Regions from separate parts of the Mus musculus genome. Here region 1 is reported to be linked to region 2. Evidence: microRNA targets listed by miRTarBase, many of them from high-throughput screens and not tested one by one. Region 2 holds a microRNA gene; the other region holds the end of a gene's coding sequence.

What was found. The annotated mature microRNA mmu-miR-3093-5p reads CGCACCCCGCGGAGCUCACACU and lies in region 2 at 2,102-2,123, opposite strand. An mRNA with a match to its seed (bases 2 to 7 or 8) in the 3' UTR can be bound and repressed. Matches are read on the target gene's strand: a 7mer-m8 pairs with bases 2 to 8, a 7mer-A1 pairs with bases 2 to 7 and ends in A, and an 8mer does both.
Region 1: miRTarBase lists Ttl as a target of mmu-miR-3093-5p. Seed matches in the 3' UTR shown: 7mer-m8 at 2,704-2,710.

Annotation. Positions count from the first base shown.
Region 1 is chr2:129,092,064-129,097,434 of GRCm38, forward strand. Ttl (tubulin tyrosine ligase) reads left to right here. Exons shown (of 7, transcript NM_027192.2): 7 at 878-4,220. The coding sequence ends at 992. It overlaps Gm46764 (predicted gene, 46764), which reads right to left. Exons shown (of 3, transcript NR_168333.1): 2 at 1,913-2,432; 3 at 710-1,637. Among named protein-coding and RNA genes, the nearest start is that of Gm46764, 6.2 kb to the right of the region's middle.
Region 2 is chr3:88,211,938-88,217,308 of GRCm38, reverse strand. Mir3093 (microRNA 3093) reads right to left here and starts at 2,138; the gene lies at 2,052-2,138. All of the region lies in intron 2 of Gm3764 (predicted gene 3764), which reads right to left. It overlaps Mir9-1 (microRNA 9-1), which reads right to left and starts at 1,711; the gene lies at 1,623-1,711. It overlaps Gm25641 (predicted gene, 25641), which reads left to right and starts at 1,639; the gene lies at 1,639-1,696.

The DNA of each region.
Region 1 (5,371 bases), not on the chromosome of region 2:
TCACACCTCTGGCTTCTGCCTGCGCTAAGGGTCAGTCCCAAGCAGTTGGCTCTGGGGACTCATCCTACCTATGGAGTCCCACAAGGGAACCAGACAGACAACCTCCCCACACACTGTCATAGGGAGATGGGAGGGTCTCTCCTTTGTGTTCTGCTGTGCAGCCGTGGGTGTTAGAAGTCAGGGATGCTGGGGCGAAACCTCCCGTGTGCTGATTAGAATTACAGGAAAGGGAACTAAGATGATGGGGTTCTGTTGCCCCTAGGGGAAGTTAAGCCCACTGAGCCACATGACCTTGGGCCTACAATACGCTTGCTCTGCTCTCAAGTTCCGTTTCTCCTATGTATCCTGAGTTCTTCAGTCTTGTTGGTATAGATTACTGCTCCCCTCGCATACTGCCCAGCATGCGCACCCACACAGCCTCCTTCCCCTTCTCCAGACCCTCTGTCTCCTGCCTCTCCTTCCTCTGCTTTTCTACGCTGTCATCACTCTTTGTCAGATGACTCTTTATTTCCTGAGTCCCATCTCAACTGTCAACTCCACCAGTCTTCACTAGTGTCCCTTTTCTCTTAGAAGGTGTTGATTTTCCTGGCCGATGCCTACCCCTCCTTGTACAGCCTCACAGACAGGTGAGCCAGGCTCCTGATTCTACTGAAATTACCTTCTCTGCCAGTCATCAGGAGCTCCTTGTTCCCATCAAGGCCTTACATGGTTTATCTGTGTGCAGAGCCTCTTGTGGGTACTTTATTCACAGAGACGAGTTTTTCAAAAGAGGAATTTCTAGGGCAGATCGTCACTGAAATACACACACACACACACACACACACCATACCCAGCTTTGATGAACAGCCTCAGTGACATCTTTAACAACTTATTTCAGGAAACTCTATGCAGAACTGTGCCAGGGCATCGTGGACATAGCCATATCCAGTGTCTTCCCACCCCCGGACACGGAGCAGGTGCCGCAGCAGCCGGCTGCGTTCGTCAAGCTGTGAAGCACCGGAAGGCACAGAGCCACCTTGGGAAATGTACGGGGTCCTGCTCCAGAGGAAAGAGAGAGAACTGGACTGCTCCTTGTCAAGGCATGCTGGGGGACAGATGTGCAGGAAGAGTGTGAAGAGATGGCGGCTGTGGAAGAGCAGCTGAGCTGCCCACAGTGCTGTGGAGACCTTGGGAAGCTGGCGCAAGCGACTGAGAGGGAGAGCCCAGCACTTCTCTGAAGGGCTGGGACCAGGGATTTGTTATGGCGTGATCTGATCCTTTGAGCGGTTTCTGGCCTTGGATGGTACTGGGAACAGAGCGCCTTCTCCCCGGGATGCAGCCCAGGGGCCTCTGAGGGGGTGTCTGCTCACCTGCTGCAGCTTTAGTGCCTTAGTCTGTGCATGGTGCAGCCTCACTGGACACAGACTGGACCTTAGAGCATTTTAGAGGTTGCCACATGTTCCCTGCGACACTATGTCCCGCTGAACTCTGGACCAGCATGCATCACAGTCCGGGCTGTGCCCTGGCCTGTCAGTGAAGGCCTCTTGCTTGTCACCATCCCGGTGGGCTATGAGTGAGCGCCTGCCAGGGGTCCTGTGGACGCCAGTGTATGCTGCTCACTGCATGTTTTAGAAACAAAAGCCGCAGGCCTGACGAATCTGCAAGCATCAAATAAGCATGAGAGAGAGAAAAACAAAAACAAAACCATGATAATCTTACTTTACTTAAAGGGATGGGTGGATGGGTGGGTGGGAGGGAGTCTCTGAAGAGTCTTGAGTCTCAGTTATCTTTGGTTTAACCAGAATTCTGAATGCCGCTTTGCAATTTCTCTCCCCTTTATCCCCCCACAACCCCCTCCCCCCACCTTTGAACCTTTGTAGCAATCCTTTCTGGGAGTCAGAGAAGGTAGAATCCTTTTCCTCACACTCCTCACCTCATAGCTCTCCCCATGCGGGGCCTCCTTGGCTCCAAGGGCCTCTGCAGGAGCTGGAGGGCCAGGTTCCATTCCAGAAAGGGCCCAGTCTGCATATGCATGTAAGTGACAGGAGAGACGCCCTCTCAGTGAGGGTGTGCCTGCCTGAGTGAGAAAGAAGTATTTTTGGAGCTCTGCACTGCTTCTTTTAAGTGTCCACAAAAGTGTACCATGAGATGTTGTTTCTGGGTCATGGGTCCATTCATATTTTATAGACTTCTAGGGAGCCCGCTTCCATGGTGGTGTCAGGAAGAGTCTCGTGTATTCAGGGTGAGCGTGTGAACAGGCGCTTCTGAAGAGTGTCCTGGAACCACGGCAGACGAAGCGAATCTGCCCTTCTCCCCAGAGCACAGTGTGTTCTTTGCTGGTGTAACCGTGTGCGTCTTCATTTGCATTTACTTCGTACACTCTACAGTCGAGTGAAATGTCCACAGAAGACCTGCTGAAGCACCTCTTCCTCAGACAGGGTGAGGTGTGGGCGCTTGCGGCGAGGAAAGGAAAGATGAGACAATTTTAGAATGTGCACCAGTGGGTGGCAGCATGTGACAGTATTTACTGAAGCAAGGAAAGTTCTAACTCATGGGAGCCTGGAGTTAGAGGGCAAAGGTGCCAGGGTTACCTGGAATGTGGGTAACAGAGGCGGCACCAAGAGCAAAGTTAAACACTCAGTATGAAATCAGTTCTAGAGGCCCAGCACAGCTGACGGGGAGTGGTCTGAGAAGGCAGTGTGCACACTCACTTAGAAAGGGAGGGGGGTGCTGGGTCCTCGGCTAGGCTAGGTGGGCTGGTAATGGAGAAAGCAGGGAGGTCTGTGGGTTCTTGGAGCCAAATCACAGGGACATTCAAGAGTGTTTAGCTGTTATGGAGCTGGAAAAGCAGATGTCAGTAAATCTTTATGAATTCTGACAGGTTTTGTAATAAGCCTAAACAAATCCATACCCTCTGTATAAAGGAAGTGAGGTGTTACAAAGTGGGAAGGGTTGAGTTCCTTCCTCACATAGCTTCAACCATTTTTATGCATTTCCTTCCCACCAAGTAGGAAGATCGGCTGGCTTTGAGCCGTTTCATACCATTATATGGTATCCCTGGCACAGATGGCCATGCCTGGCCTCCCAGTCACTCTTCATGGTCAGTTGGTGTAAGTGCTGCCCATCACCCAGGGTTGGGGGGTTGTTTGGAGATGCCAATTCCACCCATGGCACTGTCATTAGACTGCACAATGTCACACAAGCCAAATAACCCACTGTGCCTTAGTGTCTCGTGGAGGAGACATTACCTGACCCAGGGGCTACCTCAGGGAGGTTTTGTGAGAACAAAAGAGAGTAAGTGGAAGACTCAGGGGCCTTTGGTACCAAGGTTCTCAATGCCGACCGCATGCTACACTCTCCATGAAGTTAAGTAAGTGGCTAACCCTTCCCACCTGTGGCTAATTGAATCAGAACCTCAGGTAACAGTATGCCTTGAGGTGCCTTGAACCATTGCTTTGGGAAAGAGGGCAACACATTATTATCTTGGAAGAATCACTTAAGGATTAGGCTCAAAAAAAAATACTCTTTGAAGCAAGCAATTCTGTAAGAACAATCAGATGCTGATATGTGTATTCATAGTCTAAATATTATCCAAGCAGTGTCTCAGTTTGCTTCTCGTCCAGGCATCTGAAAAATCAAACATGCGTTCATTTACCTAAGCAGTAGTCAAGTCCTTGGTAGCAAATGTACACAGACACTAATCTATAAATCTAATCATATATATTAGAGTTATCCATTAATTATGGGAGAAAAGCCCCTCCCCTCACACTTGACTTCAATGGCAATTATAAAGTCCATTTTGCCAAGAATATATAAGTGCCTCTGTGTTGTGAAACAGCATGGAGCTGGCCTGCACAGCAGCTGACAGTGTGTGTCAGTAGCTCTGTGGGATGACACATGCACAGGACATCGGGGAGCGCTGGGAATGGTCTGTGACCCACAGGGCCAGCCAGTGATAGTGATGCTATAAGGTATTCTTATAAACAGGCGTGGTTGTGTTCTTGGGTGAACTCAGTCCTAGTACCAGTGTGGCAGGGAGGGGACCCATGAACAAAATGACAAGGTGCCAAAGTGGGTTGCATGTGGGTTGTGGGTGCTGTCCTGAGGATTCAGTAGCCGATGTATGTGCCTCCAATCCTGGACACAGAGCCTGCACCGAAGAGGGCATTTCTGAAATAAGGCAACTATATTGAATGTTTTAAATGCCTGGAGCATTAAAGATATTTCAAGTGTTTTGTGTCCTTGGGTTTGGTCCTCTTACTGTGGGGGTTGACGAGCCTTTGGCTATCACTGGTTATTTCAGTTTATGATACCACCCAGAGGAAGGCAGGATTTTCCTAGAAACAGCAAGACAGCAAATATCCTTACCTCTTGTCAGCTACCTGGGGAGTCTCTCTTGCCTATCCCTTATTATTCCCTAAACTCTGCAAATGGATGGCCGTGATTCTAAATTCACCTACCATCCAGAGCCAAGTCAGATATGACTATAGTTCCCTAAACAAGTGTTATATATTACAGAAGTCAGCAGGTGGTAATTTCAGCTGCAGACCCCAGGCCATCCCTTCTCGGTGTCTTGTGCCCCCATCTGAATCATGGCACGATGGTCAAGTGGACCAGTGGTCATGCAGGAAAGCCATGTGTGCTTCCAGCACAGGGTAAAGATGAAGCTATTTGCTAGAATGCCTTACTAATCTTGTGGCTCTGGCTGAGTATGTAGATACCTGTCAATCTCCAGAGGATGTCCAGACACTACAGCACTTTGTACAAGCAGCCCCACAAGGTAACTAGTCATTTCTCAGGCTTTGAGGTTGCTTGCACTGAACTCCTCGGTGCACCTGGCCTGCCTTCGGGGGCTACCTGCAACCCATTTCTGTGACTCACATTAGCTATCGGGCTGTTGGACTTCACCATAATTTTTTGGCTATTGGTTTCTAGGATGACCACGAAGCTGGGAAGGCAAGGATGGAAGCAGGACAAGTTAAAACATCAGGAAGCTCACCGTTTTTACTGGGATGTGACTGCTTTCTGGGTTGCTGCCAGCATAGGCTTAACATCTAGAGCACGTTCCTGGTGTTCTTAGTGGTTTTGTGGCACAGAGGATTTTCAGGGGTTCTACCTCTGCCCTTCAGAGAGAGAAGAGCATTCGTAGGGTAACAGGTGTGTTCTGCCACACCCTTCATGAACTGCAGCTTCATTATGAAGAAAAAAAAAGAGCTCCTGATGATACATGGACCCAGCCCGAGAGAAGTCCTTCAGTGTCATTGAACACTACCCCTCGGGGGCTGCCGAGTGGCTATCTGCCTGGCGGCCTGTCTGCTCAGCACTCCATCTTTGCTGTGGGCATAGCGTGTCTGTGTGTTGTTATCATTTGACTTTCTGTTGTTTGTTTGTT
Region 2 (5,371 bases):
GCAAATTCCCAATAACAGAGAGGCTTCCCTTCTTTCTACTTTCCCAGTTGGCTCCCTTGGGGTGGGGAGTGTCACTTTCTCCAAGACAGAGTAAATGGAAGGAGCTTTGAGTGTCAAGCCAGTGAGTAATGTCAGCTGCTCACTTGTGCCTGTGTAACATGGGATCACATGGCATCTCTCAAGCAGCGGAAAAAGAAAACAGGCTGTGGCCAGACCATTAGTTCCAGCCTAGACCCAGCCTCTTTTCTCCTTGACTTAAGCTTCATCCCCACCACCCCTACCAAAACAAAACAAATTCCAAGCTTCTGGAATTTAAGAGGCCACTCGACTCTCCCTCCCCTAACTGCTAAAGAAGACACACACAGGCAATAGATTCCCTGAAGTCCCAGAATTTGAATTTGGATTCTCTAATATTTCCCCCCATGTAATACAAAATTGAATCATTATCTTCTAACTGTAAAATCAGGTCCCGGGAGGAAATTTTAAATTTATAAGAACCAGCGGAGTCTGGGTGATGACATTTTGCCCAGTTTTCTGCCTCTTATTAGTCGGTACAGCCCAGGTCTCCAAGTGCCAGCTGGTCAAGTTCGGCTGAGGGCCATGAGAGCAGAGGGGATTCCTAGCTCTGGCCATGTTTGTTAGACCATCTTCTCAGCTGTAGAAACCCTCTTTCACTAAAATATTTAGGTCAGGCAAGATAAATAGATTCTTTTTACAGGAGCCCAAATTAATCTCTCTAATTCTTTGCGTTCTCTGGGCAGCACAGCTACACATTCCTTTGTGTTTGAGCTCCACAGAGCTCCTTGAGGCCATTTGTTCCTTTGGGACACGATTTCCAAGAGTGAGGTTAGGACCGAAAGGTGGGATGCTCTAAAGCCCCCCACCCCAACTCTACACCTTTAGCCACTAATGACAAAGCAGCCAGAGAGAGTTCAGTTAGACTTAGCTCTGGTCCTGAAGGCCAAAGTGAAAGCAAAGAACCTGCGCCCCAGGGTCCCAGAATTCCTGTGGGGTAAAAAGGTCTCTGGCCACTCTGGCCCTTGCCCTTGTGGTTACTTTGTTTCTGCATCGCCATTCTCCCTAATAAGTTCGATGTGTGTGTTGGTTTTTAAGCCTTCCCCGCTCCTAGACCTGTTCCCACCTGGGCAATCTTGACTCCCAGTAAAGCTGAAGGGCTTCAGGGAAACCACCAAAGCAAAAACCAGCTTTCTAGAGACATCCTACGAACCTCGAACTCCACCAGTCGCTTCGAAGAGCCAGAGGGAAGCTGCTCACACCAGCCACCCGCTCCCGGGATGCGTCGAGACCGGGAGAGGGATGCTTGCACTTTCCCCCCAACCCTTCAGCCAAGGGCTCTGTCTCTCCCGGGAGCGGCTTCTCCGGACTGAGGCCCAGACTGCTCCATTTTGACCAGGCCTCCAGAGGCGACCCCAGAGCGGCTTCTTGCTTTCTTCCCAGGTGAGCAGGTTGCGGGTGGGGATCGCGAGGTGGCTCGGGCTGAGCAACCTTTGAAGGCGACGAGTCCCCCTCCCCCCAGCCCTCCAGCCTCCAGGCACGCCTGGCACGGCTCTCCCTCCTGCAGCTCGGCCACTACCAGCGTTCCAGGCCCTCTGCGCAGTGTATGGGGTTATTTTTACTTTCGGTTATCTAGCTTTATGAAGACTCCACACCACTCATACAGCTAGATAACCAAAGATAACAACCAACCCCGCCTCCTGGCCGCCTCCTCCTCTTCCACGCAGCCTCCCGGCCACCGCCTGGACCTCCGTAGTCTCGAGTCGCTCGACGGCGGATGGGGGACGCGCGTGGTGTGGAGGCGAAAAGATGGGATCCAGGACCTCACGCACTATCACGACGAGACCTCAGAAAGGCGAGGAAAAGATGCTACCGCCGACGGTTCTGAGGTCGGGAATCTAGGCTGAAACCAAGCGGCCCCAAGCCTGACCGCCCATTTCCCACTCCCTCCTCCGTGCAGAAGCAGGGTTCCGCCGGTGCTAGTGGAAAGGCTCCAGGGCCTTCGTGCCATCCGGGAAGACCGCAGAAGCCTAGGCCGAGGCCTCCCCAACCTCCCACGGTGTCCACACCCTTCTCTGGAAGGTCGAGTGTGAGCTCCGCGGGGTGCGGCAGAGCCGAGCTCGCAGAGCTGCTCCGAGCTACCGACTGCAGGGGAGCGGCCGCGAAGCCCCGGACGGGAACCCCAGCACTGGGGAACCCCGAGGCCCAGAGGGAAGCCTGTGGCTGGCGGCGGGGTGGAGGGTGATCTAGAGACTCCCCAGCGACTCTCCCAAGGGCAAAGACCCCACCCAGAGAGAATCGGGCGAGCAGTCAGGACGTGGGGCTGCGGGTTAGGGCAAAGGGTGACCAGGCAGGTGCTCCGAGCCCTGGACCTACGGAACCGCGCGGGAGCCGGTTTTGTGCAAAACGCAGCCGAAATCATTCAGAGATGTGAAATATGCCACTGGGGGTCTGAGTGAGAGATGCCCTTAGTGGCTGGAGGGGGCTATCTGGACTGAACCCACTGGAAGGAGGTCCAGGGACCGTGCAGAGGGTGTAGAGCTCCGTGGTCGCAGGTGGCGGACGCGCGCGCTGGACTCTGAGGCGCTTTCCCCACCTCGTGCCCCACGCGGGTCAGGCCACTTACATCAAACCCAGGATGCCCAGTGGTAGTGTCCTGCGCGGTCTTCAGGCGCGTTCCTACCCAGGCAGCGCCACGGACGTGGGTCAAGGATGCCGGGGCTTGCCAGGTAATGGGGCCGAGCGAGAGCCAGCAGGGTGGAGCAGGGTCTCGAGTCCCAGCTCTCTCCTCAGCCTTGGCCGCTGCTCTGGCGGGGGCGCTCTCAGGCTCCGGACTTTTCATTCATCCCTTCACACTCCTTCCTCAGGTCAGCCCCTGATTGGCTATACCTGGTCTGACGTCACTGTCTCGTTTCTTCCCCCCCTCCCCCCCAGCCTTTCCATGCCCGACCCCCTCCCTCCCCAGGCCAGTCCAAGACGTGCAATTGGGGTGCCCCTCCCCCAGAGAATGGGATCCAATGTCTTTATGCCAATCCTTAGTCTTTTGCTGCCTCATCTACAACCCGCCTGCCACGTCTATAATCCATTGCCAATTGCGGTTCTGATGGCCACCTTCGCTCTTCTTGTCGATCTTACATTTTCCTTTTGGGCTCTACGGTACATTGCACCAAGACCAGCACGCAAAAATAGAAAATAAATAGGGCAAAATTCCCTCAAAGAGAAGAGATCTGTAATCTCAGCACCAGGAGGTTGAGGCAGGGATGCGGACTGGAGACTCTATCTCTGACCCCCTCCCACCTCACCCCACCGTTAGAGTCTTTTTGAGTTCTAATTCCTCCCAAACTGTGATCCTAATATTTAGGAGAGGCAAGGGTCTCTTTTGTTCAAGGTTTTCAACTCAAACCCTCACTGAAGGGAAGACTGTGCAGTTTGAGTCTCCTGCTATGAGACAATGGGCGAGCAAAGGGGGCCCTCTTTTCTGCATTTCAGGGGAATGTTCCTTGACCCTATCTGCAGATAACCACAGAATCCTAGCTGCTTTTGAGACTCAGAATTTGGCCAAGTCCTGGAGACCTTTAATAGGTCTTTCCCTCTACCCATGTTCCTCCAGGCTCCCAGGCATGCAGTGCCAGCTCTGGGTTCGGTTCCCCAAGGAAGATGCCTTTCAGGCAAAGCTCTGTCCCCGTCCTCAACTTCCTCCACCTGGCTCTCAATCCAGTCCAGCCAGAAAGGTCCTTTTCTCCACCAAAGAAGCAGAAGCAGAAAAGCACCGGGGAGTAGCCAGTTGCTGTTGGGCAACATCTGGGTTCTAGGTACATCGAAATTCTCAGAGCAACCATGGGCCCCAGGAGCTGCTCTGTGTGCCAGTGAGCGGTCCCTTCATCCTCCTACTTATCCTCTGCTGGGTCCCTTCTATAAAACTGGCTGAGATGCCTAAATCCTGCTGGTCAGATTAAACCAGCCAGTTCCTGTAACCAGGGACCCCTAAACACGGAGTCACCAGCAGTCCATTTAGGGGACTATCACTTTAACCATTGGGTCTGTCTATCTGCTAGTCCCATGAATAGCCCAAAACAAAGCCAGACCTGTGGACTGCTTATCTTGCTTAGATGGAAGGTGGTGGCTAATAGGTTTAACTTAGTGCTTCTCACCCAAAACGGAGTATGTCTGAATGTTCATTGCTATTAATGCTGGCTGCATGGCTGTGGGTGGGGCCAGCTTGAGATGAGATAAAACCCACAAGATGTTTCCCTACCAGAAGGATGATAGCAAGCAAATAGCCTTATCTCTCCATGTCTTGGGGCATTCTCAGGACCAGGTTTAGCCAGAATTTATTTATTTATTTACTTATTTATTTATTTATCTGTCTATTTATTTATTTATTTTGAATCTCCCTCTCTTTTCTTTTTTTCTTTTCTTTCTTTTATTTTCTTTTCAAACCTCTATGTTGTTTTTTTCTCTCTATGTTGTTTTAATGCTCTTTTCTGAGAGAGGCTTGTTAATTAATTTAAGTACTGAGGGTTAAGCCCAGGGCCTCTTATAGGCCAGGCAAGCCCCACTACCCCAGACCTCTTTTACTGCCCCTAAGCCCTACCTCTTTCACTTTTTATTCTGTGACAGTCTCGCTAAGCTGCTCAGGCTAGCCTTGAACTTATTTTAGCACAGACCAGCTTTGAAATTTTGATCTTCTTGCCTCCAGCCTCCCAAGTGCTGAGATTACAAGCCTGTATGCACCACCAAAACCAGCTGGGGGAGAGGTGTTCTAGAAGCTTTGGCAGCTTGGATGATTTGCCAGAACTAAGCCATGTCCAATGGTGGGGCAGAGAAAAGGGCACACCCTAAACTGTCTCCTTCACTCCCCTACAGCTCAGAATGGTGTGCCCAGAGGGCTTGGGAGCTCCTGGAGCTCCAGTACACCTGCAGAAAAAGGGGTTTCTTCCCCCCAAATGTTCTCTAGGCAACTTTCCCTCTGGGCATGGTGCTAAATACAATTCCTAGATCAACCCTGGTAAAGCCCTTGACTACATTTCTCCACCATGCCTACAAGCCTGTGACCCGTTCTCTGCATGCTCCCTCATGCCCTTCATGCCACCTTGTGCCCTTTCAAGGATGCCTGACATACATGTGACATGCACACTAAACTCCTCCCCACATGCTGACCTAGCTTCCTAAGAGCATTGGTTTGCTCTTCCCACAAAACTGCTTTCAAACCCCTGAAGTACCTTTGTCCTCTCCTCCCTTCCCAACACCAAAAAGTTTGGAGGTCAGAGCCAGCCTTGGAAAAGAGAGCCCTAGCTGCTAGTAAGATGTTTCCCTTCCGTCTCACCAAGTTTTACCATTCCCAGCCCTCTACAGG